7 linked regions of the Oryctolagus cuniculus genome follow. The protein of the gene in region 1 purifies or fractionates together with the protein of each later gene. This does not show direct contact. Links are inferred from orthologs where the notes say so. Each region holds a gene or a part of one and is shown in the gene's direction. Other genes may lie near its edges. The genes, in order: SMARCE1, ARID2, BCL7A, HDAC1, CHD4, BCL7C and BCL7B.

The links.
Region 2: the proteins of SMARCE1 (region 1) and ARID2 purify together in Homo sapiens (affinity purification with mass spectrometry; 7 studies listed by BioGRID and IntAct, counting the BioPlex papers as one, with this or other methods). This does not show direct contact. The link is inferred for Oryctolagus cuniculus from reciprocal best matches to the Homo sapiens genes SMARCE1 and ARID2.
Region 3: the proteins of SMARCE1 (region 1) and BCL7A purify together in Homo sapiens (affinity purification with mass spectrometry; 4 studies listed by BioGRID and IntAct, counting the BioPlex papers as one, with this or other methods). This does not show direct contact. The link is inferred for Oryctolagus cuniculus from reciprocal best matches to the Homo sapiens genes SMARCE1 and BCL7A.
Region 4: the proteins of SMARCE1 (region 1) and HDAC1 purify together in Homo sapiens (co-immunoprecipitation; 3 studies listed by BioGRID and IntAct, with this or other methods). This does not show direct contact. The link is inferred for Oryctolagus cuniculus from reciprocal best matches to the Homo sapiens genes SMARCE1 and HDAC1.
Region 5: the proteins of SMARCE1 (region 1) and CHD4 purify together in Homo sapiens (affinity purification with western blotting; 3 studies listed by BioGRID, with this or other methods). This does not show direct contact. The link is inferred for Oryctolagus cuniculus from reciprocal best matches to the Homo sapiens genes SMARCE1 and CHD4.
Region 6: the proteins of SMARCE1 (region 1) and BCL7C purify together in Homo sapiens (affinity purification with mass spectrometry; 5 studies listed by BioGRID and IntAct, counting the BioPlex papers as one, with this or other methods). This does not show direct contact. The link is inferred for Oryctolagus cuniculus from reciprocal best matches to the Homo sapiens genes SMARCE1 and BCL7C.
Region 7: the proteins of SMARCE1 (region 1) and BCL7B purify together in Homo sapiens (affinity purification with mass spectrometry; 3 studies listed by BioGRID and IntAct, counting the BioPlex papers as one, with this or other methods). This does not show direct contact. The link is inferred for Oryctolagus cuniculus from reciprocal best matches to the Homo sapiens genes SMARCE1 and BCL7B.

Annotation. Positions count from the first base shown.
Region 1 is NC_091448.1:21,885,657-21,890,379, forward strand, and holds the start of SMARCE1 (SWI/SNF-related matrix-associated actin-dependent regulator of chromatin subfamily E member 1), read left to right. Parts: upstream 1-1,635; 5' UTR 1,636-1,774; intron 1,775-3,470; 5' UTR 3,471-3,515; coding exon 3,516-3,522; intron 3,523-3,696; coding exon 3,697-3,740; intron 3,741-4,723. UniProt on the Homo sapiens protein: Involved in transcriptional activation and repression of select genes by chromatin remodeling (alteration of DNA-nucleosome topology).
Region 2 is NC_091440.1:136,657,868-136,660,872, forward strand, and holds the end of ARID2 (AT-rich interactive domain-containing protein 2), read left to right. Parts: intron 1-913; coding exon 914-1,058; 3' UTR 1,059-2,471; downstream 2,472-3,005. UniProt on the Homo sapiens protein: Involved in transcriptional activation and repression of select genes by chromatin remodeling (alteration of DNA-nucleosome topology). Required for the stability of the SWI/SNF chromatin remodeling complex SWI/SNF-B (PBAF).
Region 3 is NC_091452.1:7,051,040-7,054,985, reverse strand, and holds part of BCL7A (B-cell CLL/lymphoma 7 protein family member A), read left to right. Parts: intron 1-2,339; coding exon 2,340-2,507; intron 2,508-3,946.
Region 4 is NC_091438.1:140,171,628-140,175,573, reverse strand, and holds part of HDAC1 (histone deacetylase 1), read left to right. Parts: intron 1-412; coding exon 413-525; intron 526-3,946. UniProt on the Homo sapiens protein: Histone deacetylase that catalyzes the deacetylation of lysine residues on the N-terminal part of the core histones (H2A, H2B, H3 and H4).
Region 5 is NC_091440.1:102,918,482-102,922,427, forward strand, and holds part of CHD4 (chromodomain-helicase-DNA-binding protein 4), read left to right. Parts: intron 1-609; coding exon 610-734; intron 735-1,020; coding exon 1,021-1,258; intron 1,259-1,394; coding exon 1,395-1,570; intron 1,571-3,946. UniProt on the Homo sapiens protein: ATP-dependent chromatin-remodeling factor that binds and distorts nucleosomal DNA. Acts as a component of the histone deacetylase NuRD complex which participates in the remodeling of chromatin.
Region 6 is NC_091450.1:6,250,255-6,254,755, forward strand, and holds the start of BCL7C (B-cell CLL/lymphoma 7 protein family member C), read left to right. Parts: upstream 1-1,579; 5' UTR 1,580-1,791; coding exon 1,792-1,883; intron 1,884-2,439; coding exon 2,440-2,518; intron 2,519-2,829; coding exon 2,830-2,938; intron 2,939-3,046; coding exon 3,047-3,208; exon of another isoform or gene 3,209-3,434; intron 3,435-3,524; exon of another isoform or gene 3,525-4,386; coding exon 4,387-4,472; exon of another isoform or gene 4,473-4,501. UniProt on the Homo sapiens protein: May play an anti-apoptotic role.
Region 7 is NC_091450.1:50,473,857-50,478,582, forward strand, and holds the start of BCL7B (B-cell CLL/lymphoma 7 protein family member B), read left to right. Parts: upstream 1-1,579; 5' UTR 1,580-1,728; coding exon 1,729-1,820; intron 1,821-4,726. UniProt on the Homo sapiens protein: Positive regulator of apoptosis. Plays a role in the Wnt signaling pathway, negatively regulating the expression of Wnt signaling components CTNNB1 and HMGA1.

The DNA of each region.
Region 1 (4,723 bases):
ATTAGCACCCAAATGTACCACACACGGCCACAGATGTCAGAAGTCCCCACACTGAAGAAGTATTCACGCTGTGGGAAGAAACAGACAGCAAACAAAATAAGTACAGAAAATGAACGGTATGTTAGGGGGTGCCAGGTGCTATTGAGAATAAAAGGCACAGAGAGTGGGGGCAGAGGAGGGGTGGGAACTTCAAGTGGGTCGGAGAGACCTAGGAAGGTGACCGTGGAGTAGCACCCAGGTGAGAAAGCGTGCCAGCATCTGCTCCACTCAGAGCCCCTCCATCTGTGTGCCATCCCACCCCCACCCCTTGGCAGGGTGCATGGTCCCTGGGTCCCCGGCAGCCAACACTGCAGCTTTAATTCAGAGGCCCCGCCCAGAACCCCAAAGGCAGAGGTCAAACCAGAACAGGTCCTGGGACCCCCGCCCAGGCCGTCCCCCGTGTCTTCCTCCCATCCTTTAATGCTTTCATATTGGAAAAGCAATTCCACAGCCGCCCCTCAAGCCCCTCTCCCTTCAGGCGCTCCCCCATTAGGCTCCTGAATTGCACTCTCTCCTATTCGCAGGGGAAGCCCCGGTATCAGCTGTCCCCAGCTCTGCAGGGACGCCCCCATAGGCCCCTGTTCCTGCTGGCTCGTCCCAGAGGGGCGCTAAGGGCGGCTAAGAATAAGGCCCACCCCGTGCCCAAGTGAGTACCATTCGGGGGGTGTCCATTTGTTCATTCTCCCACCAGGGGCCTACGACAGTACCCAAGGGTGTTCACAGCCCAGGAAGGGGCCACTCACTCCAGACGGTGAGCAAAGAGCCCCAACGACTTGGGGGGTAAGGGCCCTGGCTGGAGCAGGCCAGAGGGCTGCCGCGGTGCCCATGTCACGGGCATCGAGCTGGGCTCCAGACCCTCAGCGGTGACCGGCACTGCAAAGCTGACACACCTTCCTAAGGGCCAGATGGAAAGGCCTGGGGGTACAAGGGAAGGATTGTTGGGGGGGGGGGGGGGGGCACTGCAAGAGGGCCTCCCGAGGGCACGGCTGAGCTGCATCCCAAACGGCACAGGAGTCTACGCAGCCGGCGAAGGCGGATCTGGGGCAGAGCCCAGCAGCAGGCACCCTCGGCGCTGCAAGGCCACACCAGGGCCCTCGCTCGGAAACCTGTGGCCAGCCAAAGCCCGTGCTGCTTCCCTCCAGGCCGAGTCCTCCGCGCCCGCGTCGTCCGCTCTGAGAAGCACGGGGAACACTCGTCCTGCCGCCCAGCGACGCGAGGGGAAGCGGGAGACCCGGCGCCGGGGGTCCCGCGGGGGCGGCCGCGGCCGGAGCCCGAGGCGCGCGCGGCCTCCCCCTGCAGCGGCTCCTGCGTCTCCCGGCCTCACGCGCGGAAGCCGAGGCCGCGGGCCTCGCCACCACGCCCTCGGGCAGGGCTCGGCACCTCCCGCCGCCGCCGCCGCTCGGACCCCTCACCGCCGCGGGAACCGGGCCTATCGCGATCGGGCCACCTCCGCCTTCCTCGCCGTGACGAATCGGCGCCCGACTGGGAAAGCATCCAAATCCAAGGAGCTTTGTGGAACGTACGGGGCCTGGAAAAAAATCCTTGGCTGTACTAAGCGTCGCCGCGTCCTCGGGAGCGGGTTTATTTTTTTTCCGAAGACAGTCGGTGGGGCCTGAGAAGAAATTGAGAAAAAGTGTGGAAAGTGCGAGCGCGGAAGCTCCGGACGTGAGGGGCGGGGCGTGCGCGGGACAAAGGGAAGCGAAGCCGGAGCTGCGGGCGCTTTTTCTGCCCGCGGGTGAGTGTTTCCTAGTGGGTCCGACCTGGTCTGGAGGGTGGCAGGTCGCGGTGCCTCCGTTCGGCGGGACCCCGGGTCCCCGGGGGTTGCTGGGGGTCAGGCTTGGCTGCGGGGCCGGAGCCGAGAGCCGGTGAGGCCTCCTTGAGGCCTAGCGGAGCGCGCGTGGGGAGGGAGTCCTCACGGGGGGCCCTCCTCAGGGGCAGGATGGCCCCTTCCGGCCACCCCGAACCCGGTCAGGGCGCCCACGCATACCCCGGTTTGGGGGAATTACTGGTAAAGTGCATCCCCCGCGGCAGGCGTGGAGGAAGCGACCTCCGAGGCAGCCCTGAGGGGCGAGGCGAGCCCAGGGCCCTCAGCCCCGGAAGGGACCCCCGGCCCGGGGCCCTGGCCCCGAGGACCCGCGGGGCCGGCTTGGCGTGAGCGGACTTGGCCTGGGTGCGGACCCCAGCTCCTGCCGCTTCCTAGCGGCGTGGTTTCGAAGAGTTACTTTGAAGTCTGCAAGACTCCCCTTTCTGATCTGTAAAATGGGACAGCAGGGTTGCTCTCCTAAGCCTGTCCTGCCTTATTCCACAAATGCTTGCCGAGCGTCTGTGTAGGGCCAGGCCGCAGGGAGGGCGTCAGGGGGTGCACAGGGGCCCTGGCCCGCTCTGAGAGCCTGCGTTCCGCCGGGGGCGAGCAGTGTCTGTGAGTGTATCTTAGCGTGAAGCGCCCAGTGCAGGGAGCTGCTGGCTGTCCCGTCAGGGCTCCACACCGCAAGGCCTCCTGGATGCTGACAGCTCGCCGGCTGAGCAGCAAGGAAATTTGCAACAAAGTCAGAGGTTCCCGCCGGGCTTTAAAGGCAGAGGGGGAAAGCACCCTGGGCTCCGACCTGCACCCTGGTGCTGCAGGTAGCTCCTGCTTATCTCCCGTGAGGCTGGATGAAGGCGCTCCAGGATAGGAGTTTGTCTTCTTTCCAAAACACGGATTTTTTTTTTAAACCCCTCGGGACTGTTGATGTGAAGGACAAGCTCTGGCCCTACTGTGAGCAGGGAACCCTAGGACAACGTCTATCAGGAATCGCACTAGAGACTGGGATACGGTGACGAGAGCAGCACCCAGTCCAGCCATATTGGCAGATGTTTTGAAAAGCTACAGTAAGCAGTATCCTAGCTCTGCATGGGAGTGCAGATGAGGGAACAGTGAATTCAATGTATTTCCAGCGAGTCCGAAGCTATCTGCCGCTTTAAAAGAATGTGAAACGCATTTAGTATACCTGTTACCTTTTCCGCTGCCTTCGGGAATACAGAGCTGCCCTGTTCGAACAGAGGTTGCTAGACCAGAAGCCAGGTGGAACTGACCGGGCGCTGGCAGCATCCAGCAGGCCTTGTTGGTGTGGACAGGTGGCACAGCACAGTGTGTGACCACTGCCTTCCCAATTACCAAGTGTTCACCGTGCGAGAGGTGGGGCAGCTTAGGACAGAACCTGAGAGTATATTTCTGATACTTAAATATCCCAGGAACTTACTCGAGTCATTTAATTCTGATGACCCAGATGACCTACAAGGACTAGTAAAATACGCGCAAGGCTTGAGTACTGAGAGATAATGTAGTTTTACTCAAAAGTACCAATCAAACTGCCCTCTTTAGGGAAACATTCTCATGCTTGCTGAGTTTTGATTCTCTTTTTTTTTCCTTTTTTTCCTTTTTTTTATTTTAGTGTCTCAGATTCATTCTTAAGGAACTGAGAACTTAATCTTCCAAAATGTCAAGTAAGTTTCAATTTTTATATTTATCAATCTATGTTAATAAGAGACTAATGCCCTAGCAAGTGGGAATTCCAAAATACTCTCATTTTTTTCTTCAAAACAGGACCATTGGTAGTTTTGTTGCATAGTATTATATCTCAGTTGTTTACAAGAAGTTATTTATTTTCTTTCAAACAGAAAGACCATCTTATGCCCCACCTCCCACCCCAGCTCCTGCAACAGTAAGTTTTAATTTTCTTGTTAATGTAATAGCCGAGTCTGGCCTTGATACAAAAACCCAGATGTCTTCCAGTGACAGTCACTCAATCATCACAGTAACAGGATGAAAATTCAGCTAAAAAACAGACTTCCTTCTAAATAAAATAACTCTTTGCCTCTGATCTTGAACCAGCCCCAACATTTAAAGAAACATACTATGAAATTCCTACCTCCTATGCTGAATTTACTTGTTTTATTTTTTTTTTTTCTTAATGGGAAATAGTTAACAAGTTTAACACTTCTTTCTCAGAGTCTTTAAGTTGATATTGAGTGAGTGCTCATTCTGGCTTTTTTTTTTTTAAACCTAACCTTCAGCTGGTTACATTTTTCTCTCCTTTCTTGTCTCTATATATAAAATTTCCATATTAAATCAAACAAAGCTCCTACTTCTATAACTACACTCATTGTAAATCTTTATTTTCAAGCTGTTCAAGTGAGGATTTCATTATCTGTGGGTCAGATTTTGCTATGAAATTTGACTCCACGCTGTAATTAGATTTGATTGGCTTGGGAATTGAGAATGTTTCAAAGTATCTGCCTGATAGCGGTGAACCGGCTTCTTCACCCAGCAAGCTCTGACCCAGCTTGGTCAGCATGTAAAATAGTTGCCCAACCCATGAAACAGATTCCACAGCAACTGTTAGGCCTCCCTGAAATGGCTTCCTTGTGGAGTTTTTTAGGGGGGAGGGGGTTGTCTGTGTTTTAAAAAACACTGTTAACATGACCATATTCTGCAGAAGCACTTCTGTAATAGCTGGTAGCCCTTCCTTCACACCCTACTACCTAAATTGCAGGCCAGGCTACTTTGCACTGCTAATTAGGTTCTTAGGTGATTTTGTTTTCTCCACTGGATTTTTTTTAACCCTCAGATGTGTGTTTTAGTTACATTTATCAACAGATTGTTTTTCCTTAGTGAGATGCTTTTAAAAGGAGATACTGTTTCATA
Region 2 (3,005 bases), on another chromosome or scaffold:
CGATCTTGGCATTTTCTAATGATTTATTTTCATTTTATTTGAAAGGCAGAAACAGAGACCTTCCGTCCACTGGTGCACTGCCCAAATGCCCCCAGCAGAGGGCTGAGCCAAGAGCTGAGACCCCAGTCCAGGTTTCCCACAATGCTGGCAGGGACCCAGCTCCTTTCACATTAGTTGTCTACTCCTTTGCTTTGCCATGGTAAAAGTGACTGTAGTTCCACTGTGTTTTGCATCTATAATTTCAGTTTTCATGGTTCATATCAATGCTGGCTTTTTTGCCCCTAATCTTTTAATAGTTTTCACATATAAGGCAAACTCGAAATCATTTTGTAGTTAAAATCCATGTATCTGTCTCCTTGCTTATGCCGTTCATGTTCTTATAACATGAGCTCAATCAGACTTGCTCCACCCTGCCAATCCTGTCTGCTTTTCACAACGTGTGTGAGCTCAGTGTCACTCCTTCTTCGCAAGGTCACACACTCACTTCTGTAATCTCTCATCTCTGTGACAAAGCACGTGAGTGTTGCGATTCGGGGACCGGGAACATCTGTGGTTCTGCATTTTTAGAAAGCAGCTGCTGTAATGGAGTAAGTCAAGCTAGATGGAGTCACTTTTCATCCTGTGAAACTCGGCCCGTGGTGTGAACTTTGATTTTATTCCTCTCCAGCTGTTCTCTGTCACATGAATCTTCCGAAAGCATGAATGAAGACAGGGATGCCGTGCAGGCTTCCTTAGATGGGAAGGCAGCACGGGGAAGACGCTGAGGGGCCCTGGCCACTTCCTTTATGCTGCACTGATGTGGCCTGGGTGTGCAGCTAAGCAGTTTCTGTTCTAGCTCCTAAACTCGTAAAACTTTGGATCAGGAATCTTCACTGTTACCTTGAGACTGATGACTTTCTGTATTTCTTTCCAGATTACTAAAGAGACATGAAAACAACCTGTCAGTACTTGCTATAAGTAACATGGAAGCTTCCTCCACCCTTGCCAAATGCCTTTATGAACTGAACTTCACAGTTCAGAGCAAAGAACAAGAACAAGACTCAGAAATGCTGCAGTGAAACAGAATTCCACTTCGAGTGGGGACTGCAAGTCAGATACATTTCACACACTGTTACTGAAGAAAGCACCAAGTCTTAATGGAACAGAGACCATGGAATGAATTATTTTATCTCCTCCCTTGATGTTGAGAGGAAGTTCGTATTCTGATCTTTGAGCGAATCCCTTTTGTTCTCTGTTTGAAAAAAATCTAAAAAGAAAAAAACTGCTGTGGGATTGTCAATCAGCTCATCTGCAGGATGCCTCTCAGACCTGAAGTCCTGATGGGAACCGGTATGATCAGAATTCAGTACCATCCACATTGGAGTAGACATGGGATCTTGTAAAATCTTCACGAGCAGATGAAATAGAAGCATTAAATATTTTTATCTATATCCAAAAAGGAGCACATTTTTATATTTACTAAACAGTTTAAGCTGGTTTGAATAATTAAAAAGTTTCAGCACACTTATACCCCCTGGTCTCAGAGGGGGCCACCAATATCTAGCTATGGATTGTGTGTTTTGTTTAGAAATCAGTAGCTTGGTTTTCTTACTTGAGCCAATATATTTTCACTTATTTATTATCATAAAAATTTACCAGTCTGAATAGATCTTGTAAATATTTGTGAATAGAAGGAACACCTTTCATGCCGCTGCAGCCACTGGAGATACATTCTGTGGTGTCCTAGAAGCATTACCGATAGGTTCTCACGTTTTCTAGACTTCTGTCAATTGTAAGTAATTGTGATATATTCTGCGCAGTGGACGAATGTTCTTCAATCTTTGTAAATACTTCTGCAAGGTACTGATGCTGTAAAGTCAGACAGTTTTGTGGGACTGTGATTTTTTTTTCTTTTTGTATTATACACCTTGTAGAACTCATTTTGCTGGCTGAAAAGAGTATGGAGTAATATATCTCATGTCATTTTTGTAGAAGAAAAACTCTTTGAAGGTATTTTTTGGTTTTTCCCTAACATGTATCCACTGTAAGCGTTTGTCATGTTTAAGCTCAGAGCTTGGACAGAAATTTTTGTATTTGTAAATTGGTTTGAATACATGGGATTTTATACAGGCGCTCTCCTGTGCTGTAAATGCATTCTGTGCAGTACACTTTCTCCACTCCTTTTCTATCTTCCTAGAGGTGGGGTTTATTGTCTAATTCTCCATTCTTAATACTGTACCACATTCCTGCTCAGATACTGCTCACTTCCCCAAATTGTCTTTCTCCCTCCCAGCGTGAAATGTACCCATTTATAACTGCCTATTGCCTGTTCTATTAGCATCCAAAAATGTGGAAGGCCTCCCAACCACGATTTCTGCTGTGTCCTTAGGATGTGCAGTTAAAAAAAATATAGACCTAACAGTTTCTGTTATAGAATGGCTTTATTTACTTTGGTGACTGTTTATAGTTTTTAAATAAAAGACTGAACATTTTCTTGAGTCCTTCATTTCTGAGTATGCTAAGCTATTTTTTAAAAACCTATAAAGAATCCTAAGTTGAGCTGAAGGCGAGGCCCAAACGGTCACCTACCTATTGTTTCTGTTGAGTGTTAGGGAGCAGAGGAGGGAGGTCCTCTACATGACACATTTGCATGAAATACATGGGAGATGGCCCTGAGGTTGATTTCTGTGTCCTGTAATGCAAAGCAAACCCAAATAATAGCCTGAGTGGTGCCGTTAGTGCTGAATATGCGCTTTTTATAAATTATTGGATACTGCACACTTGCCTGAAATCTTATTGATACTGTGTTTCTTCAGAACCACAGTATAAAACAAATCTTCAAACTGAGTATGGGGGCAGATTCTTTGAGTGAAAGGACATGCAAATTTTTAAATTTTGGATTCGATTGATATCGAATACTCTGATTTCTCCCTGAAGGGGGTTCCTGGCACTGCACCCTGCCAGTTCTAAAATGATCGCTTTGAGAAACCTCACGCAACATCAGTCAGGATTATCTCCCGGCACTG
Region 3 (3,946 bases), on another chromosome or scaffold:
TGTTATCTCATCTCTGGCCTTCAAGTCTGCTTCGTTTCCACCTGTAGAGTGCGGACAGTAATGCCTCCTGCATGAAGTCATCTGAGGATAAAATAGGCCGGTTCCTCAACAGCCGGGGCACGCCGACAGCGGGTGTGTGCAGCGCTGCCTCAGGGTGCCAGGCACCGTGGGGATGCTCCTCTTGCATTGTCTCCTTTGACTCCCACAACAAAGTCACTCAGGCTTAGAAAGGGGAGTGACCTGTCCAGTGAGGACGATGGGACTTCTGGTGCCAGTGCTCGTATTTGAGGCTCTGGGAGGATGGAATCCAGGTTTTCTGACCAGTAGCCAGGGCTCAGCGCTGCAGAAAAACTGAAAACGCCGAACGTACCAAGTGCCCGGGCACAGCGGCCATGTTTACCTTTCCTGTTTAGAGCAGGTGCAGCCAGAACCGAGTCCCACAGAGCGTCTGCGCACGAAGCGGGTGTGGGTCGGCACAGAGCATCTGCGCACGAAGGGGGTGTGGGTCGGCACAGGTAGAGGACGGGCACAGCCGGAGGTGAGGAGCGGGGAGCAGGCTCCGCCTTCCGCTTGTTGGTCTGCGGCTCCAGTGGGGTCACCTGTTACCTGGTTACCAGGCTGCACTCAGGCAGCCAACTCGTTACACATTAGGGCTTGCTGTCACTAATTAACACCGCCCCAGGCTGGAGCCCAGCGGCTGAGCTGCTTACACGCGCACACGCCTGTCTTGAGTAGGAGAGAAGTTCAGATTTTCTTAGGGAAGATCAGGAGCCTGCATTTTTTTTTAAGCCCCTGAATTCACAAGAGGATGCTTTTGTGTAACCAGCACTCCCCTAGACTGCTTAAAATAAGACCAGATTCATCAGGAAGGACGCGTGGCTGCCTGTGCTTCATCAGGTGGGGAGCCGAGCAGCCCGGCCTCCGTCTACCCGTCTGTAAAGTGAATGTGTGAGCATTCCCGGTGGTTTTTTGGGAAGGTCCGATGGAGTTACTGTAGATGCTCGCGCCTGGTGCCTGCTGGGCTGTCTGGCTTTCTCGCTCACTTTTACAAAAATTGCTTTGTTCCCAGGTGCAGCATGGCCCAGAAAGTCAGCGTCAGATTGCGGTGTTATTTTTGAAATCTTGACTTGGCTCTGCAGTCTGAAGTGACCCTGTGTACTGCAGGACATGGGGTGGGGTCCCCTGCACCCCAGCCCTGCCAGCACCAATGCTGCTACCACGTTAGCTTTCCTCCCTCTCCTCCATTTATTATGAAAACTTGTGTAAAGAGTGGCAGAGAGAGAGAGTGGGACAGAGCCCCAGATGCCCACCACCTGGGTTTTCATGAAACAGGGCGCTCTGTTTGCCTCCTTTTTTCCTTTTAATGTGCTAAGGTTTTTCACAGGAGTGGAATTTACCTAGAAGAATCCATAGCTCTTGAGTGTGAAGTTCAGGGGGTTCTGACGGTTGTTTGCAACCTGTGCCTGAGGCGTTTTAAAGAAATTTCCCTGTATTATGATATTGAAGTCTGTCCCTAAACACTAAAACCTGCATTGCTAAAAAACACCATTCTGGGGTCACCACTGTGGCGTAGCCGGTTAAGCTGCCACCTGAGATGCTGGCATCCCATATGGGATCTGGCTGCTCTAATTCCAATCCAGCTCCCTGCGAATGTGCCTGGGAAAGCAGCAGAAGTTGGCGCAAGTCCTTGGGCCTCTGCAGTCATATGGGAGACCCAGGTGGAGTTTCAGGCTCCAGGCTTTGGCCTGGCCCAGCCCTGGCAGTTGCGGCCATTTGGGGGCTGTACTAGTGGAAGCAAGATCTCCCTCTCTAACTCTACCTTTCAAATAAATAAATAAATAAATCTTCACAAGGAAACTAAAAAATGGCCACCCACTGCGCCAGCATCACCTGGAACTGACAATAATTCCTAAATAGCTGCTGAAATCCAGACCCTATTCAAATTCCCCAGTTGTTCCAACACGTGTCACGGCTGGCACGGTCAGAGCAGGGTCCTCTCCGTCTCTGGTTTCCTTCTCGGGCAGCAGCCCACCCTGCTGCTCCCCTGCCTCCTGCGGCGTGGAAGAGGTGGCCACGCGGCTGCCCACCCCGGACATCAGCCCTGGGGCTCCGTGGAACCACGTTCCCGCGCCAGGTGCCCGGGGTCTTGGCCCAGCATCCCCGGAAGCGTTTGAACGTGTTAGGCCAGCGAAGGCAGGCGGCTGCCGTCGACGCAGCCTCTCCTAAGGAGGACCCATGGGGCGGTCCCCGTGGGGTCAGCTGTCCTGCGGGGCTCCCGGCCTCCGGCCACCGGGAGCCGCCGCAGGGTCTCATCCTGTGGCTTTGTTCCCCTCACACAGACGACAACAGCAACCAGAGCTCCATTGCGGACGCCTCCCCCATCAAGCAGGAGAACAGCAGCAACTCGAGCCCGGCCCCAGAGCCCAGCTCCGCCGTGCCGGGGGACGGCCCCGAAGCCAAGGCGGACGAGGCGCAAGCCGACGGGAAGGAGCATCCGGGGACTGAAGGTAGGGGCGTGGCGGGGCTCGGGGCACCGCCTCCAGTTGGCGCGCGGCCAATCAGGGGGCGTATGGGGAAGGGGGCCGCCCCGGAAGGTGACAGAGGGGACATGGCGCCTGTGTTCTCATGGAGCGTGGAAACAGCGCGCGCTGTGGCCGGCCTTGCGGAGTAGCAGTTTTGTTTTGTACTTTTAAGATTTATTTATTTATTTATTTATTTTGAAAGAGAGAGAGGTCTTGCATCCGCTGGTTCACTCCCCAAATGGCCGCAGCGGCCAGCGCTGGGCCCGGCCGAAGTGTAGCCAGGAACTCCGCCCTGGTCTCCCACAGGGTGCAGGGGCCAAGCTCCTGGACCGTCTTCCGCCGCTTTCCCAAGCCTAGCAGGGAGCTGGATCGGAAGTGGAGCAGCCCGCACTGGAGCTGGCGCCCATGTGGGGTGCGGCCCCGTGACTCCTGCCCCGCCGCAGCGCCGGCCCCGCGGTGTTTCTTTAGACTTGCTTTGTGAAGCACACTTGACCCACTTATGACGTTGCCTGATCCCTGAGGGGACTTGAATTCCCAGTCACTGCTATGACAGATGCAGAGAAAAAAGAAAGGAGCCCGGGGCTCTCCATGCAGACCAAGTGGAGGAAATGCTGTCTGCCTGGGCTTGGGGGCAGAGCAGGTGTTAAGAAGGGGATGGCGTCCCGGGCAGAAGTGTGACAGGTGCAAGGAGTGTGGGGAGAGGAGGCTGCAGACACCAGGGACTGAAAGCCTCCCTGGTCTGCAGGGCCAGCGATCGCCCCTCTGGCTGGCCTGGGGAAAGTGTGGCCCGCACCCCGGGCCCTGCCTAGGGGTGAACGGGTTGTGGCCCCGCGGCAGGGGTCTCTGGCTGTCAAGGTGGCCGCCCCTTCCCAAACCTGTGAGGAGGGTTTGTACTGCTGGGTTGGCTCCTGGGCAGGTGTGTGTGTGTTGGGGGGGGTCTTGTCCCCCACCCCAGGCCCCCCGAGACCTCTCCCCCTGCCTCAGAGGAGAGAGCCCAAGTACCCAGAATCGTGTAAATGAGAATAAACCAGCTCTTGTGGAAGTGGTCGCCATGGAGCCCCCTTAGCAGCCTCTCCCAATTCACTAGCTCATTCAGGCGGCCCCACGGATGGTCGTGGGGCGTTTCCCACACACAGGGTCCCTCGGGGAGCCTCACCCACGTCTCTGTGTCTTTGCCCAGGTCAGGGTGGAGCTGCAGAGTCAGGGCCTGTGGCTCATCCTCCAGGGAGTCCTCGGGGAGAACAGCTTCACCCTGGGGCAGGGGCGCTCAGCCCTGGCTCTGCCCATCGGGTCGAGTCTGCATGGGGCCCGTGCTGTGCGTCGCAGGCTGTTGGGCAGTGTCCCTGGTCGCTGGAAGACCCCTTACCCCTGGGTGTGACCCCAACATTTTTCTAGACATTGCTCCGTCTCTGAAAGGATTGTAG
Region 4 (3,946 bases), on another chromosome or scaffold:
TAAAATGAATCTGCTCTGACATTTAAGGTGTCACAATATATCAGAGGTGACTTGTGGCTTATAATAATTCTGAGTAGTAATGGTTGTTTTTCTGTTGTGGGAGGGAATTCCTTGGAGGTATATTGAGGTGAATCACCTGACTGGCTGCTATTCTCCAGTAGCTAGGAATGAACCCTTCATGCTATCTTGAGCCTGTGGGCTCTAGAAGAAAATGGGCTAGCCTGATCTTTAAGTGCTGACCTCATCAGAGACCCCAGTTTGTTGTGTTTTTCTTTTAGAGTTACATTTCTTTTAGGTAGAGAGATAATCTTGGGCTCAAGAAATAACCCAGAAAGACAGATTGCTGTAAAAATTCCTGGGTTCTCCTGGGAGTATGTGTCTAACGGTCATCAGAACTCTCCCTGTTCTTCAGGTGATGTTGGGAATTACTACTATGGACAAGGCCATCCAATGAAGCCTCACCGGATCCGCATGACTCACAACTTGCTGCTCAACTATGGTCTCTACCGGAAAATGGAAATCTATGTGAGTTACTTACTGCGAGTGTTCCCCTCTGTTACCTCATCAGCTCTGGTCCCCCAAATGCCATTTACTATCTGATTTTCTAAACCATGCACTCATTAAGCAAATGTGGGCATTGGCCTATCAGTTAAGATGCTTGTGTTCCACTTCGGAGCACTTGTATTCAATTCCCAGCTGCAGGAGACCCCCATATAAATAAATCATACTGCAGTGTGTAAGAGCAACAGTTTAGAAAATGTGCAAGATGCAGAGATAATGAGGAAGGAAGGAGGAAAGGGGGCTTGAATTGATTCTAGGAAGTGATATATGAGAAATTTTAAAGATTGAATAGAATTTAGCCTGGAGGGGCTGGTGTTGTGTAGTGGGTAAAGCCACTCCCTGCCAAGCTGGCATCCCATATGGGTGCTGGTTCATGTCTTGGCTGCTCTACTTGTTTGTTTATTTATTTTTAAGATTTACTTATTTATTTGAAAGGTAGAGTTACAGAGACAGAGAGAGACAGAGACAGAGAGAGACAGAGAGAGGTCTTCTGTCTTTTGGATCACTCCCAAAATGGCTGCAATGGCTGGAGCTGGGCCAATCTGAAGCCAGAAGCCTGGAGCTTCTTCTGGGTCTCCCATGTGGTTTCAAGGGCCCAAGCACTTGGGTCTATCTTCTACTGCTTTCCAGGCCATAGCAGACAGATGGATTGAAAATGGAGCAGCCGGGACTTGAACCAGCATCCCATATGGATGCTGGCACTGCAGGCGGCAGCTTTACCTGCTATGCCACGGTGCCGGCCCCTGCTCCACTTCTGACCCAGCTCCCTGCTAATGTCCTGAGAAAAGCAGCTAAACATGGCCCAAGTGCTTGAGTCCCTGCCATCAAGTAGGAGACCCAGATGAAGCTCCTGGCTCCTGGCTTCAGCCTGGCCCAGCCCTGGCCATTGCAGCCATCTGGGGGGTGAACCAGCAGATGGAAGAGCTCTGACTTTGAAATAAATAAATAAATCTTACAAAAAATTATCCTTGAGTTCAGGAGGGGACTGGTAGGGGGAAGAATATATGCAGTATATGCATATGCATATTATATATGCAAAAAGGCTGAGGTATTTGAGGAAAAATCCGTTTTTTTTTTTTTTTTTTTTGTTTTGTTTTTTTTGACAGGCAGAGTGGACAGTGAGAGAGAGAGACAGAGAGAAAGGTCTTCCTTTGCCGTTGGTTCACCCTCCAATGGCCGCCGCGGCCAGCGCGATGTGGCCGGCGCACCGTGCTGATCCGATGGCAGGAGCCAGGAGCCAGGTGCTTTTCCTGGTCTCCCATGGGGTGCAGGGCCCAAGCACCTGGGCCATCCTCCACTGCACTCCCGGGCCACAGCAGAGGGCTGGCCTGGAAGAGGGGCAACCGGGACAGAATCCGGCGCCCCAACCGGGACTAGAACCCGGTGTGCCGGCGCCGCTAGGCGGAGGATTAGCCTAGTGAGCCGCGGCGCCGGCCGAAAAATCCGTTTTTATGTGTAGGGATACAATGTGAATTCACAGACGTGAGGCAGGGCGTAGAGCTGGAGAGGTCAGCCAGCGTTGGATGTGCTGTGCTAAACCACTCTTGTAGGCCAGGGTCGGAAATCCAGTGGCTAAAAAAGGAGTGACTGGGGATCGTGTTGGACAAGTTGCCAAGTCTGTGGTTACGAGAGAGTGTAGGCTTCTGTCTAACCACCAGTCTCAGCTCCACTTGATTCTACCTGGTCTTCCAGATTTTAAGAAGCTGGAAATCCAAATTAGTATGCAAAACCTCCTCGGTTTAAAATGTTGGCACAGGGTTTTTGTTTTAAATGTTTGTATATAAAACACATCAATACACGTGCGGACCAAATGTGGTTCGGTGGTTCCCAATTTAATCTGTTCTGGAGGTGGTGGGGGAAAAGTGAAAGGTTTTAAATAAAAGATATAAGAATAGATAGGCATGTATTTTACAAGCAGGTAGGCCACTTAGGAGCCTGTTGCTAGAGTCCAAGTGAGAAAATAAAGAGGGGCTGGGGGCCCATGTTGCTTTATGGCGTGGTGCCTGCTGTTAAAGGCTGTACTGACAGTTTGAGTAACCTAGCAACAGCAGCATCCTTCTCACCATTCCAGAGACTGAAAGGAGATGAGTCTTCTGTCCCAGATGGCTTTGTCGTGTCTCTGGAGCTGGTGGAGCCAACTGGGGAAGGTAGACAGGGCGAGCAGACCTTGGGACCACAGTGCTTTATCAGGTGTGAAGAACAGGTGGGGAAGAAAGCATACAAGGCAGCAGAGGTTTTCAGGAACTCTGGGGAGCCGCCTAGCTCTTTCTATCAAGGAGAAAAACTCCCCAGGAGCTTCCCAATACACTCCCCCTTACCTCCCATCATCTCATTCCTGAGACCACTCACCAGTGTAGACGGATAGAATTACCAGAGCTGGCCTAGGCTAATCATGATTCTATTCCTAGGGCTGGGTACATTTTGTTACCAAGGAAGAAGGAACAGGATGGCTCTTTGGGAAGCAACCAGTAGTAACTTCCTTATGGGAGGTGAATTTCCCTGTGGTGTTCTTATAAACTTTTTTTTTTTTTTAAGATTTATTCATTTATTTGAAAGACAGAAAGGCAGAGTTATGGACAGAGAGAGGGAGAGACAGAGAGAGAGAGAGATCTTCTATCCATTGGTTTACCTCCGAATGGCTGCAACAGCGTAGCTAAGCCAGTCTGAAGCCAGGAGCCAAGAGCTTCTTCCTGGTCTCCCACATGGGTGCAGGGGCCCAAACACTTGGGCTACCCATCCTGCTTTCCCAAGCGCATTAGCTGGGAGCTGGATCAGAAGTGGATTGAGGCCGGCGCTGCGGCTCACTAGGCTAATCCTCCACCTGCGGCACCAGTACCCTGGGTTCTGTCCTCGGTTGCTCCTCTTCCAGTCCAGCTCTCTGCTGTGGCCCAGGAGTGCAGGGGAGGATGGCCCAAGTGCTTGGGCCCTGCACCCACATGGGAGACCAGGAAGAAGCACCTGGCTCCTGGCTTTGGATCGGCGCAGCACGCCGGCCATAACGGCCATTTGGGGAGTAACCAACAGAAGGAAGACCTTTCTCTTTGTCTCTCTCTCACTGTCTAACTGCCTGTCAAAAAAAAAAAAAAAAAAAAAGTGGATTGAACTGGCGCCCATATGGGATGACGGCTCCACAGACAGCAGCTTTACCCACTGTGCCATGGTGCCAGCCCCTATCATAAACTTTTAAAGGAAAAACCTAGTATCATCTCTCTTCCCTAATGCTAGACCTGTTGTCTTTCTCCCCCCCCCCTTTTTTTTTTATGATTTACTTATTTATTTGAAAGTCAGAGTTACAAAGAGGCAGAGACAGAGAAAGAGGTCTTCCATCCGCTGGTTCACTCCCCAGATGGCTGCAACAATGGCCAGAGCTGGGCCTATCTGAAGC
Region 5 (3,946 bases), on another chromosome or scaffold:
GGAACTCGGTCCAGGTTTTCCACATGGGTGGCAGAGATGCAGCCGCTTGAGCTGTCATCGGTTACTTCCAGGGTGTGCATTAGCAGGACGCTGGGAGCTGGAGCAGAGCCAAGACTTGAACCCAGGCAGTCTGAGAAGGGATGTGGGCAGCCCAGAGCAGCACCTTAACCTTTATGCAACAACCTGATGTAATGCTTGTGAATGCTGGTCACTTGTTTTGTAGAATATCTCTAATTTGGTTTTGTCTGATGGCTTCTCTTGATTAGATTAAGGCAAGAGGGCTGCGAAAGTGATGCTGTGTTTGGGGGATGGACACCATGTTCTTACGTCTCATTATTGGATGACAGTTGGTTAAGGTGCTGTTTAACAAGTTCCTCTTCTTTCCGTTGCAAGTGATAAGTGTCTTGAGATGGTAGAGACTATGCTTATACTCAGTTTCTTGAACTTGCACATGGATTTCAGTGTCCACTGGTGGACCTTGCTTGCAACCATTGTTCCTGTGGTATTTGACTAATGAAGTTTTGTGTTTCTGACTTCCTTCTACTTTCATTAATTGAAATTTGGACACGTTTCTCATCCTTTTGTTGTTGTTGTTGTTCTTTTTTTTAGCACCGGGTGCTCAGCAGTTCTGCTTCTTGCTTTCCACTCGAGCCGGGGGCCTTGGAATCAACCTGGCCACTGCAGACACAGTTATCATCTATGACTCTGACTGGAACCCTCATAATGATATCCAGGTGAGCAGAGGCCACAGCAGTGGCATGCATTAACTTGCTGGAAATGCTGGATTCTTTGTGAGGACTCCACAGCTGGAATTAGTTGTTTAAGTGAGAAATACCAGATTCTTTTTATGTCATTTACGCTACTGTGAGCTAGAGACTTGGGTTAGCTATGGCCCTATTTTGGGCAACATGATAATAGAGGGCAGTGTCTGGGGGCAGGAGTGTGAAAGGAAGTTTCACATGAAGGCAAATGTGGCAGCAGGAAAATAGGTCTCTGGCTTTGTTTCCTGCTCATCTCCAGGCTTTCAGCCGCGCGCACCGCATTGGACAAAATAAGAAGGTGATGATCTACCGATTTGTGACCCGAGCGTCAGTGGAGGAGCGCATCACGCAGGTGGCAAAGAAGAAGATGATGCTGACGCATCTTGTGGTGCGGCCTGGGCTGGGCTCCAAGACTGGATCCATGTCCAAGCAGGAGCTTGATGATATCCTCAAATTTGGCACTGAGGAACTGTTTAAGGACGAAGCCACAGATGGAGGTGAGCTGGTCAGACGAACTTGAATTTCAGCCTCTAAGGGATGGGAGTGTCTGATGCCGAGGGTCTCCCATGGGACCTGCTTTTTCCACGGCAGCTGCTGAAGCTGACTTGGGGGTTACGGCCCTGATTCTTACAGGAGGAGACAACAAAGAAGGAGAAGATAGCAGTGTTATCCACTATGATGATAAGGCCATTGAGCGACTGCTGGACCGCAACCAGGATGAGACGGAAGACACAGAGTTGCAGGGCATGAATGAATATCTGAGCTCATTCAAAGTGGCCCAGTATGTGGTGCGGGAAGAAGAGATGGGGGTGAGTACGAGTCCAGGGCAGTGCCGGGCTTGGTGACTGGTCTGGAAGTTGGACTGAGTCCAGGACGGTACTCGAGATGAGGAAAATACCTACATGCAAATTCACGTGTGAATTGGTATACCTTTTCCTTTGAAAACAGAGACTTTATGTTAAAGGAAGTTTTGTATCAGTGAAGTGAAGTAGCTCAAGAACGTCTGTGAGGTGGAGCATGGTGTCAGCCCGTGTGCAAAAGCGAGGTTCTCAGCATCTGGGAGAGCCAGCTGGGAGAGCCCACCGCGTGCTGTGGTTGGTGGCAGGAGGTGCTGCCAGCGCTTCTGAGGGCGCTGGTGTCAGGCACCACTCAGGAACGAGGGGCTGCGCAGCCACGTCCTGGGTTGGGCCTGGAAATGCATCATTTGTGCCTTGGGGTGGGGACAGGTGTGCTGCAGCAGTATCTGTGGCTTGGCTCTCAGGAAATTGACAGCCAGATTTCACACTCAGAACAGTTACATTGGCTCTTCTCCAGAATCTCATTTTTTTTTTTTTTTTTAAGATTTTATTTATTTGAGAGGCAGAGTTAGAGACCGATTTGCGTTCACTGGTTCACTCCCCAAATGACAGCAATGGCTGGAGTTGGGCCCATCAGGAGCTAGAGCCAGGAGGTTCTTCTGTGTCTCCCACTTGGGTACAGGGGCCCAAGCAGTTGGGCCATCTCTGCTTTCCCAGGGCAAAGTAGAGAGCTGGATCAGAAGAGGAGCAGCCAGGACTAGAACCGGTGCCCATATGGGATGCTGACACTTCAGGCAGAGGCTTAACCTACTGTGCCACAGTGCCAACCCCAGAATTTCATTTTTTCTTAAGCATTCTATTACTCTGTTTTTTTAAAAAAAGTGTTTCAAATACTACCTCAAGTCTCTTTGGAACAAAAGGAAGAGGTAAGATATATACCTAGGTAATATCTTATTGTGGGTTTTTTATTTTATTTTGATTTGCTAGTTTTTAAAGAGTTGTTTATTTGAAAGAGAGGGAGAGACAGAGCTTCTGTCCACTGGTTCATTCCCCAAATGGTTGCATTTGCTGGGTCCGGAGCCAGGAACTCCGTCTTGGGTCTCCCGCGTGGGTGGCAGGGGCTCAGATACTTGGGCCATCTGCTGCTGCTTTTCCAGGTTCATTAGCAGGAAGCTGGATTGGAAGCAGAGCAGCCAGGACTTAAACTGGTGCTGTGGTGCTCTGATAAAGGATGCTGGTGTCACGCGCAGCAGATGAACCTGCTGGTCCCCAGCATGACAGAGGGAGACAGAGATCTTCCTTAGCTAATTTATTCCCCAAATGGCTGCAACAGCCAGATCTGGGCCAAGTAAAAGCCAGATGCCAGGAATCTCATCTTGGTCTCTCACATGGGTGGCAGGGTCCAAGCACTGCTGCCATCTTCCGCTGCCTTTTTAGGCACATTACAGGCAACCTGGATTGAAAGCAGAGCAAGAGAGATTGAAACCAGCACTCCTATATGGGATGCTGGCATCATAGGTGATGCGTTAACCTGCTCTGCCGCAGTGTTCTCCAGTGTTTGTTTATCTGAAAGGCAGAGAGACAGAGACAGACAGACAGAGCCCTCATCATTCCCAAATGTCTGCAACAGTCAGGGTTGGACCTGTCTGAAGCCAGGAGCCCATCACTCAATCCACATCTCCCCCGTTGGGGGAGATCTTGATGTGTTGAGCTGTCACCTGCTGCCTCCCAGGGACTGGATTAGCAGGAAGCTGCATGTGAAGCGGAGGAGCCAGCACTCAAACCAGGTGCTGTGATACTGTGCCTGGGTGCCCAAGCTTCCCTACCCAGTGCCTCAGACACTACCGCTCCCCTTATTTGTTTGAAAGAGTAGAATCTCTCTCTTTTTTTTTTTTTTAAACTTCTTTTCCATTTCTTGGTCTTTTTTAGTAAAAACCAAGAAACAATGCACAGGTGGTGATCTTTTCCCTCCATAAATGATAGAGTATTACAGTGAAGAATGAGGGGCTGCCGTTGTGGTGCAGCAGGATAAGCGGCCCCTTGCAATACCGCCATCCCACAGCAGAGTGCCAGCTGAGTCCTGGCTGCACTGTTTCTGATTCAGCTCCTTTTAATGTGCTGGGAGGCAGCAGAAGATGATCCAAGTACTTGTGTCCTGACCACTGGTGTGGGAGACCCATATGGAGATCTTGGCTCCTGGTTTCAGCCTGGTCTGGTTGTGGGCACTGGTGAGTGAACCAGCAGATGGCTAATCTCTTCTCTCTCCCTCTGTCTCTCCCTTTGCCTCTCAAATAAATAAATATTTAAAATATTTATTGAAAAATAAAGTTTGCTTTCTCCTCTGGTCTCCGTTAAACCATTGAACTTGGGGTTCTTTGAATTGGCAGA
Region 6 (4,501 bases), on another chromosome or scaffold:
CCCCGAATGGCTGCAATGGCCAGGGCTGGGACAGGCCAAAGCCAGGAGCTTGGAGCTTCTTCCAGGTCTTCCACATGGATGCAGGGGCCCAAGGACTTGCACCGCCTTCTGTTGCTTCCCCACGTATATCAGCAGGGAGCTGGATCGGGAAGTGGAGGAGCTGGGACTCTGCACAGGCACCCATATGTGATGCCGGCACTGCAGGCGGAGGCTTAACCCCGCTGCACCACAGTGCCGACCCCAACAGTAAATTTTTATTGAGGTCTTTTACTACGTGCTGACCACTGTTCTAAGTGCATATTAAGTTACTGCCAAGTTTTAGTTGAGGAAGTAGATATAAGTGGCTTGTCCGAGTTCACGTAACGGGGTGTGGCTGACCCGGGATGTTTACCATGGCGGGCCAGCTCCTGAAATGCTGTCAAGGCTGTCTTCCCAATCCTGTAACCCCTCTGGACAGGGTCAGAGACAGGACAGCCACACACAGCTGCACCGATTTAGACACGATCAGATCTGCTGATAAAGGAGCCTTCGAATCAACCAATCATTTTCTGCAAGGAAACTTCTGAGTCAACTGCAAAACACAGATGGAGAAACGCACACATCCCCAGCGCCCAGCTTGATGAATTTTCAGAGGAACTTTGCCCAGGGAGCCCGGGCCACATTAGGAAACAGACATGATGGGTTCCCAGAAGCCCCTCTGGGACCCCTCCCAGTCCCGAAAGAGACACCCTCCCGGCTTCCTAATCCTGACATTTTCCTATCTGCTTTCGAACTTCATAGAAATAGAACCAGGTGGTGTATCTGGCTTAAACTCAAGATCTGCTGAGGGAGACTTGTCCCGTCGCTGGGTGTAGTGGGACAGCGGGCATTCTTGCCCGCTGGGTCTCTGTCTTGGGTATCAATAGCTGCAACCCACTTCCCAGTCTCCTCTTGGTAAGCCGTTTACGGTTCGGGGCTGTTAAGAACGCGGCTGTGAACATCCCAGCTCACGGCTCTTGGTGCTCCTGTCTAAGCATTTCTGCTGGGTGCTGACGTGCTGGATTCCTGGGCTGGTCTTTGTTCAGCTTCATGGGAAAGTCTCTACCAATTCCCACTCCCCCAGAAACAGAAGGGAGGCCGCGCGGCTCCGCTGGCCCGCCCACACTCGGTATGGCCTGTCGTTCTCGCTATAGCCATCCTGGGGGGTGGAGACTCACTCATGTGTGCAGCTGTGGCGCGTAATTGGCACTGGGCTGCTAGATCGTTGAATGAATGAATGGGTGAACGAATTAAGTTGGGCAGCGTAGAATCAGCCAGCCCGGCGAGGGAGGAGGGGGTGTCCGGGGACACACACACGGTGTCTCAGGTTCGCACACCTGCACCCAGACCCTCTCGTGCACCCGAGCGCCCACGTGGTCTGGACGCGCCGCCTCGGCGGAGCCGCGCGCGTCCAAGTCGCCGAGCCAGCGGGCCCCCAACTCTCGCTCGCTCTCGGCGGCGGACAGGGGGCGCTGCGCGTCCGGGCGCCCCCGAAGGGGCGGGCCCGGGGCGGGGCGGGGCTGGCCCGGCTTCCAGGCCTGGGCTCCGGCACCCGCGCCGCCCGGCCGCTCCGGGGACGGGCCGGGGCGGGGCGCGGCGGCAGGAAGCGGGGCGGGGACTCGCGGAGGCGTTGGGGAGCGAGGGAGGGCGCGGCCAACTCCCGGAGGGGACGGCGGGCGGCGAGAGCGGCGCCCCGGCCTGGCGCCGAGCCTGAGCCCGCCGGACGGGAGGCAGCCCCGCCGCGGGCTCGGCCCCGGCCCCAGCGCCGCCAGCATGGCCGGCCGGACCGTACGGGCTGAGACCCGGAGCCGGGCCAAGGATGACATCAAGAAGGTGATGGCGACCATCGAGAAAGTCCGGCGATGGTGAGCGCTGCCCCGCGGCCGGGGCCGGGACCCTGGCGGGGACCACCGCCCCCTCGCGCGCCTCCCCTCCCCTCGCCAGCTGCGCCCCCCAGGTGTTAGGTGCGCCCCCGGCCACCAGCTGTGCGCGGGATCCCCAGGGCTCCGTCTCCCTTCCCCGGGCTACCCCCGGAGGTCTACAAAGCGTGGTCCCCAGCCGTGCCTTCGCCGGGCGGGAGCCCTCGTCCGTGCCCCGCCCCCTGAAGCTCTGACACTCCTGCAAGTATGGCCCGGGCTCCGAGCTGCGTCCCCAGGGATGGCCCCCTCCCTCCGGAGGGGTTCTGCCCTAGCCATGGCCCCGAGGCGTGCCCGGGGCGCCCCCTCCCCATCTTTGCCCTGGGCTCGCTCTCTCCAACAGTGCCTCATTCGCAAAACCGCCCCAACCCTCGTGCACCTCCCCCACCTTGCAGATGTGGTACCTGGGGCAGAGGCGGAGGCGGCGGGTCAGGCGGGTGCGCGCGGGGGGGGGGGGCGCCTCTCCCCTCAGGCCTCTCTGACCCAGCACCCCACCCTCCCACAGGGAGAAGCGTTGGGTGACTGTGGGCGACACTTCCCTTCGCATCTTCAAGTGGGTGCCGGTGGTGGACCCCCAGGAGGAGGTGAGCAAGCCCACCCCCCACCCCCCAAGACCCTGCATCTGTGCAGTCTCAGCCCAGCTCCTCCCCACCCTGGCCTCCACCTCCAGTGCCTACCGCAGCCCAGATGTTCAGGATTACTCGGCTGCCCCTCCCCCTCCCCCTTTCCTGCTCCAGACCCCCCCCCTGCAAGGCTAACCCAGCACGCACAGCCTCTGTCACCTCTGGCTGGGCCTTGGGTTTCTCTGTGCCTCAGTTTCCCCGTTTGTCCCCGTGGGGCTCTGCCAGGGCTGCCGGGAAACGCTGGCTCTGATCCTCATCCCTGTCACCCCCAGGAGCGGCGGCGGGCAGGTGGCGGGGCAGAGCGATCCCGTGGCCGAGAGCGGCGAGGCAGGGGTGCCAGTCCCCGAGGGGGCGGCCCGCTCATCCTGCTAGATCTCAATGGTATGTGTGGGGGCCCAGGCATTGCCGGGGGCGGGGAGGGGTGGCTGTGGGACCTGGAGGAGGGGCCTGGGGGCCTCAGGCCGACCCTCTGGGCTCTTGTTTCTGCAGATGAGAACAGCAACCAGAGCTTCCACTCGGAAGGCTCCCTGCACAAGGGTACCGAGCCCAGCCCCGGGGGCACCCCACAGCCCAGCCGCCCTGTGTCACCCGCCGGAGCCCCGGAAGGGGTCCCTGAGGAGGCTCAGCCCCCACGGCTGGGCCAAGAGAGAGGTAGGATCAGGTGCCACCCAGAGCCCCCTTCTCTGCGCCCAGCAGCTCACCCCGCTACCTGCCCCTCTCCCATGAGCCCCGTGGAAACAGTGCCCGCCCCTGCCGTCTCCTCTGGCATTTCCCTATCAATTTCAGTTGCTGCTCACATACTGTCTTCCTGCCCCGTCTCGTGTCGGCTTCCTGGAGGTCGGGCCCTCCCCGATCTTGTTCACGGCATCCTCCAAGTCTAGTGGGACGCATAATAGGTGCTCAATCAATGTTTGTCGAGTGACTAAAAGACGAAGCTACTCACGGGCGCTATTGATTGAGCTCTTACTGCGTGCCAGGTGCCTTCCAAACACTCTGTTCTGTTTTATCTCATTGACTCGCCGCCTCGGAGGGGTTAGCCTGCCCTGCTTCCTGTTTGTAGCTGAGGAGGCAGATCAGCAAGGTTAAGTCGGTCGCCCGAGCTCACACAGCGTCTTCAGGTTGAGGCTCCTCAGCTCCTCTTTCTTCCAGTTCACCCCCGCCCAGCGTGGCCTCCCCAGGCCACAGCCTGGCTCCAGCCGCCCCGCAGCTGTAGCACAGCTCTGCCTGAAGCGGGGGGCCGGGTGGGGCTCATTTTCCTGCTGTGGCTCCTTCTGCCCCCTGAGCTGGACGCTGAGGGCCCCCTGTGCGCCGTGCCCTGCCCGCCACCAAAGCCACGGCTTGGGCCTAGGGGCTGAGCCTGGACACCTGTGCTAATAGAGAAGCAGTAACTGGCATTTCTGGCGCACGTGCTGGGTGCCAAACACTTTGAGCTGTACTACCTCGCCTCCTCCTCCCGAGAGTCATGCACCAACTGCGACCCCTGGCCCCATGTTATGGATGGCTAAGGAGAGGCCCCAAGAGACGGAAGGAGCCGGCCCAAGGCCAGGATCTGAAGGCGGCCGCTGAACTCCAGGACCTGTGCTCACTACCCTGCGTTCCCTTTGTCTGAAGTGTGTTTTTCTTGGTAAAGCTACACCGCTTTGCAGATCCTGCATAAGTGTTCCTGCTTCAGTCTGGGGCTGGGACTTCAGCCAGGTCCTGGGCCCCTTTCTCTCTGTCCAGCTGCCTGTGTGTGTGTGTGCGCGCGCGCACGTGCGTGCATTTCTCCCAGTCTGACCTCTGGGCACAGAGTGGCTGCTCAGGGAATGACTGTTCACTTGACATTCCAGATCCCGGGGGCATAACTGCAGGCAGCACGGACGAACCCCCCATGCTGACCAAGGAGGAGCCGGTTCCAGAGCTGCTGGAGGCTGAGGTGAGAGAGGCCGCAAGGCTGCACTCCCG
Region 7 (4,726 bases), on another chromosome or scaffold:
GGTCATGGATGGGAGACAAATCAGCCATCACCTCCAGGTGTTGGCTGTTGGACTCGGGGCCTGAATTGGGGGCCCTGTGAGTCAAATTGTGGAATTGTCGAGAGCCAGCATCGCTCGTGGCACTTGTTCTGTCTTGGGTTTCCCTGCTGCCTTCCTCATCTTCACCCCAAGGGCAAGCAGTGTGTCTGCCTCACTCAATGTGTCCACTGCTGTAGGGCAAACAGCAGGTGCACCAGCGGTGCTTGGGTTATTGTGCATGAGCTGGGTTTCAGAAACAGATGTGTCCTCTTTGTGATCCTATTATTTCTCAACTCATTCTCCCCCCCCACCACCACCAAAGTCAAGCAGAAGCTGTTCCTGGTGCCCCCCCCCCCCAATACAGAAGGGCGTGTGCTTGTCAAGTCTTGGTACTGGTCAGATGGGCACAGTCCCAGGCTCTGTTGTGTCCAAAGTTCGCTGGGCCTTTCTCTCCCTAGAGAGAAATCTCCCTAGAGAACTGCTTCCTGCCGTCCCCAGGAGCTGCGGCCACAGGACCCTCCCTCCATCCCGTGGGCACGAATGCGTGACTGCTGGCAGGTGGGTGGGGGCAGTGTTTAGAGAGTCTGTAGGCAGTGAGGCCTTGAGGCATTAGCGACTGCCCTGTTTGCAGAGATCAGCTTCAAGGGCACTTTTTCTAGGTCACTTTGTTGTCTCTTTTAACCTAGTGTTCATCAAATGGCATCTTAAATACTTGTTTCCTGGTCTGCATGTTCTACTGAACTCCAAGCTCTTTGAAAGCAAAAACACATCGTGGGTGGTGTTCCGGGGCAGCGGGCTAAGCTGCCTGAGATGCCCACACCCCGGTCCGACTGCCTGGGGCACTCCTGGGATGCACAAGCTGGGAGGATGGCTCAGAATTTGGGCCTCTGCCACAACCGCGGGAGACCTGGATTGAGTTCCCGGCTCTGGGAGTCAACCTGGCCCAGCCCTGGGAGTTGCAGGCGTTAGGGGGAAAGAGAACCAGTGAATGGAGGATCTCTCTCTCCCTTTTCTGTGTCTTTCAAATCTTGAAAAAACAAAACCAAAACCTCCCAAGGCATCATCGCTGAAACCAGTGACCGCTGCATTAAATGGTGGCAGTGGAATCGTGCTAAGAACGAACACGGGGACCCTAGGGTACCCCGGGAGGCTGGAGTTTGAACCGGATTCTGGAAGAGCGAGCAGCCAGTTCCTCGGGTGAGCACCAAGAACAGCAGGCACACCCCAGACAGGTGTCAAACTCCCCGCCGTTGGAGCCCAGTGGGAGTCCTGGGGGGGGGGGGGCGGACACTCAGGTCCCACCGGGGCCAGGCTCCCAGCTTCTCTGGACGCAGTGCAAGGGCGCGGACCTTCAATGCCCCTGGGCAGAAGCGGACACCCCGCCCACTGTACCGGCAGCGCCTCGCACCTTGCCCTGCCCGCAGCACGTGCAGCCTGCTCGGCGCGCCCAGGCCCGGGGCACCCATGCCCGGGGGTCGGGAGGGCCGCCCGGGGCGGGGCGCGCAGGCGCGCTGAGGGCTCGCGTCCCAAGGGGCGGGCGGGTGCGCGCGCCTCCTCGCGCACGCGCGCACGGAGGGGGCGACGGCCGCGGTGACGCTGCGGCTTCGGCGGCGGTGGCGGTGGCGGTGGCGGCGGCGCGTGTGAGGCGCGCGCGATTCTCCGCGCGTCTTGGGAGCAGTGCCCCGGCCCCCCGCCGCTCCCGCCGCCGCCATGTCGGGCCGGTCGGTCAGGGCCGAGACCCGCAGCCGGGCCAAGGACGACATCAAGAAGGTGATGGCGGCCATCGAGAAAGTGCGGAAATGGTGAGGGCGGGAGCCGAGGGTGCCCGCGCGCGCGCGCGCGCGTGTGTTGCGGGCCCAGGCCCCGAGGAGCGCCAGTCCGGCAGGCTGGGTGGGAGCCGGCCGGCCGGCTCCGGAGGGGGAGGGGGAGGGAGAGGGCGGGCGGAGGGCGCGCCGGCGTCGGCGTGAGGTCAGAGGGCAGCGCCGACCGGGGCCAATCAGCGGGCCGCCCGGCTGGCTGCCCCGCCCACTGCCGCGGTCGCGCGCGGCCCGGGGATGGCTGCGGACTTCGGGCCGGCGCTGGGCCTGCGGGTCCTGGCTCAGAGTCCCGGGCTGGTGCCGCTGCTGCTGTCTCCCCGTGCTGTCCTCCCCCTGATTAGGAGCCAGCCATCCCCCGAGTGGCTTCGGTCGGCCCGGCTGAGCGCTCCACATAACACAGTCGAAATCTGAGAGTTCTCCCGGTAATTCCACCTGCCGCGGGAGCAGGCGTGGTGGTCATCGGAAAGGAAACCTGCCTCTTTCCCCTAACGCCCCCTGAAGTCGCAGGTGAAGCTCCGGAAGCTCCCGGAGCCTGTTCCTCTAGCTAGCCAGCAGTAGGTAGGAGCCCGGGGGCTCCCGTGTGGGCCTGGCTATGCGTTCCCCTCCCCGCAGGCCGGAAGGGCCTTCTCGCTCGCTCTCCGTTGGCTTCCGGTCACCGCGCCGAAAGCCAGAAGTGTCCGCTGGGACGGCTAGCGCTGACTGAGTTGTCCAGGTCCGCTTGCGGCTGGAATGCGGGCCCTGGGAGGGAAGGGGCCGTGCGTCTCGTTCCCTGCCTTCCTAGACGAGGGTCTTCGATACTGAATACGTGGTCAGCAGATGAGGAAACGGAGCGGACCGGTCGGGAACCGGTGCCCCCTGAGCCTTTTTTAGCTCGTTGTTTCCAGTCCATCGTCACCTCTCTGCATTTCCTGATGGCATTATTTGCTTCATAGCAGCTGTGACAGTAGTGACTTTTATGTGTTTATTTAGTATAAACTTCAGATTTGGCCTTGAAACTTTGCAAAGCGGTTCAGGTCCGCGAGACATCAGCTCCCTGCATTTGGTTCTTGCTCGGGCTGACAGCAAGTACTAAGCAGTCTTAGAGAAGTAACTTCTTTCTTTTTTTAAAATTAATTACATTATTTGATGGGCAGAGTTAGAGAGAGAGAGAGGTCTTCCATCCCTGGTTCACTCCCCAATTGGCCGCAACAGCCGGAGCTGCGCCGATCTGAAGCCAGGAGCTTCTTCCAGGTCTCCCACGCGGGTTCCGGGGTCCAAGCACTTGGGCCATCTTCCACTGCTTTCCCAGACCACAGCAGAGAGCTGGCTCAGAATTGGAGCAGCCGGGACTCGAACCGGCGCCCATACGGGATGCCAGTGCTGCAGGCTGGGGCTTTACCCTCTACGCCACAGCGCCAGCCCCGAGAGGCAACTTCTTGGAAAGCCAGCTCCCACCTGCACACACACTGGCTGGCAGCCCTTCAGAGCAGGTCGAGCGTGTTGCTCTGTGTTGAGTTTAGGACGGGCCTGATTTCCTTTCGCTGGGTCTAGCTCATGTTGTCAGGCCCTCGTGGTCTTGAGCAAGCCCTTGGCCTGGTCTTGAGCCGTTGCTTGTTTTGTGAGTGATGAGGATTTCTCCAGAGCTTTGAACTTGAAGGTTGAAATCTGAACATTTCTTCAGATTAGCTGTCTCCTTAGGCAGTCTTGGTAAGGCAGAACAGCAAGGGATCCCAAGGCCGGGTCCACGCCTGCCGCTCCCACCCAGCAGAGAGAGTGTGTGTGTGTGTGTGTGTCTGTGTCTGTCTGTCTGTGTGTGTCCCCCGTGGTCCTTTCTCCCTTGGAGGAATCTTTATATGGAAGCAGAACAGGGCAGCCAGTCCATGACCAGAGTGACTTAAGAGATTAACACTAAAATGACCAGAACCTTCTTTTTAAATTTTTGCTTTAATTAAAAAAATTTGCCCTAAGTTTATTTCTGCTTGTCTATATGTTTAGTGGTAATGGAATAATAGGGATTTTTGAAGATGTGCTACATAGTTTGTTATCTTTACTGAGATTCTAATTTGGTAAATAAGCTGATGAGACAAAAACATTATCAGAGGCACACATGTGACATCATTTAATAAGGAGCATGCAAGAAGGGGCCTGTGCCTACAGAGAGCTTAGAATTGCTGTTTTGAGTGCCTTATTTTATTTTTTTAAAACGATTCTTTCTGAGCTTTCTGTTCTTTCTTTCTTTTTTTTTTTTTTTTTTTAAGATTTATTTTATTTATTTGAAAGGCTGAGTTACAGAGAGGCAGAGAGAGAGAGAGAGAGAGAGGTCTTCCATCTGCTTATTCACTCCCCAGGTGGCCCAGATGCATGCAATGGCTGGTGCTGTGATGATCCGGAGCCAGGAGCTTCCTTCAGGTCTCCCACACAGGTGCAGGGGCCCAAGCACTTGGGCTGTCTTCTACTGCTTTCCCAGGCCATAGCAGAGAGCTGGATCGGAAGTGGAGCAGCCAGGACTTGAACTGGTGCCCATATGGGATGCCGGCACTGCAGGCAGCAGCTTTACCCATTATGCCACAGTGCTGGCCCTGCCTATTTTGTTTTTTTAGTGTTAAGACTTGTTAGAGAATGGACTCCTGCCCACTGGTTCACAACCCAAATGCCCACAGTGGCCAGGCCTGGGCCGGGCAGAAACCGGGAGCTGAACGCAGTCTGGTCCCCCACATGGGTGGCAGTGCCCGTTACCACAGCCAGGGTCTGCATAGGTGCCAGCCAGAGCCAGGGACTGGCCGAGGTGCGCTGATGGGGCTGCAGGCGTCTCAGCCGCCGTGCTGAAACCCGCCGACGGCCTCCGGTCACGGTTTGATCCATAAACGGTTTCTGGGAGATGAGCTCGGCAGTTGGTTGATGGTTGCAGGGCT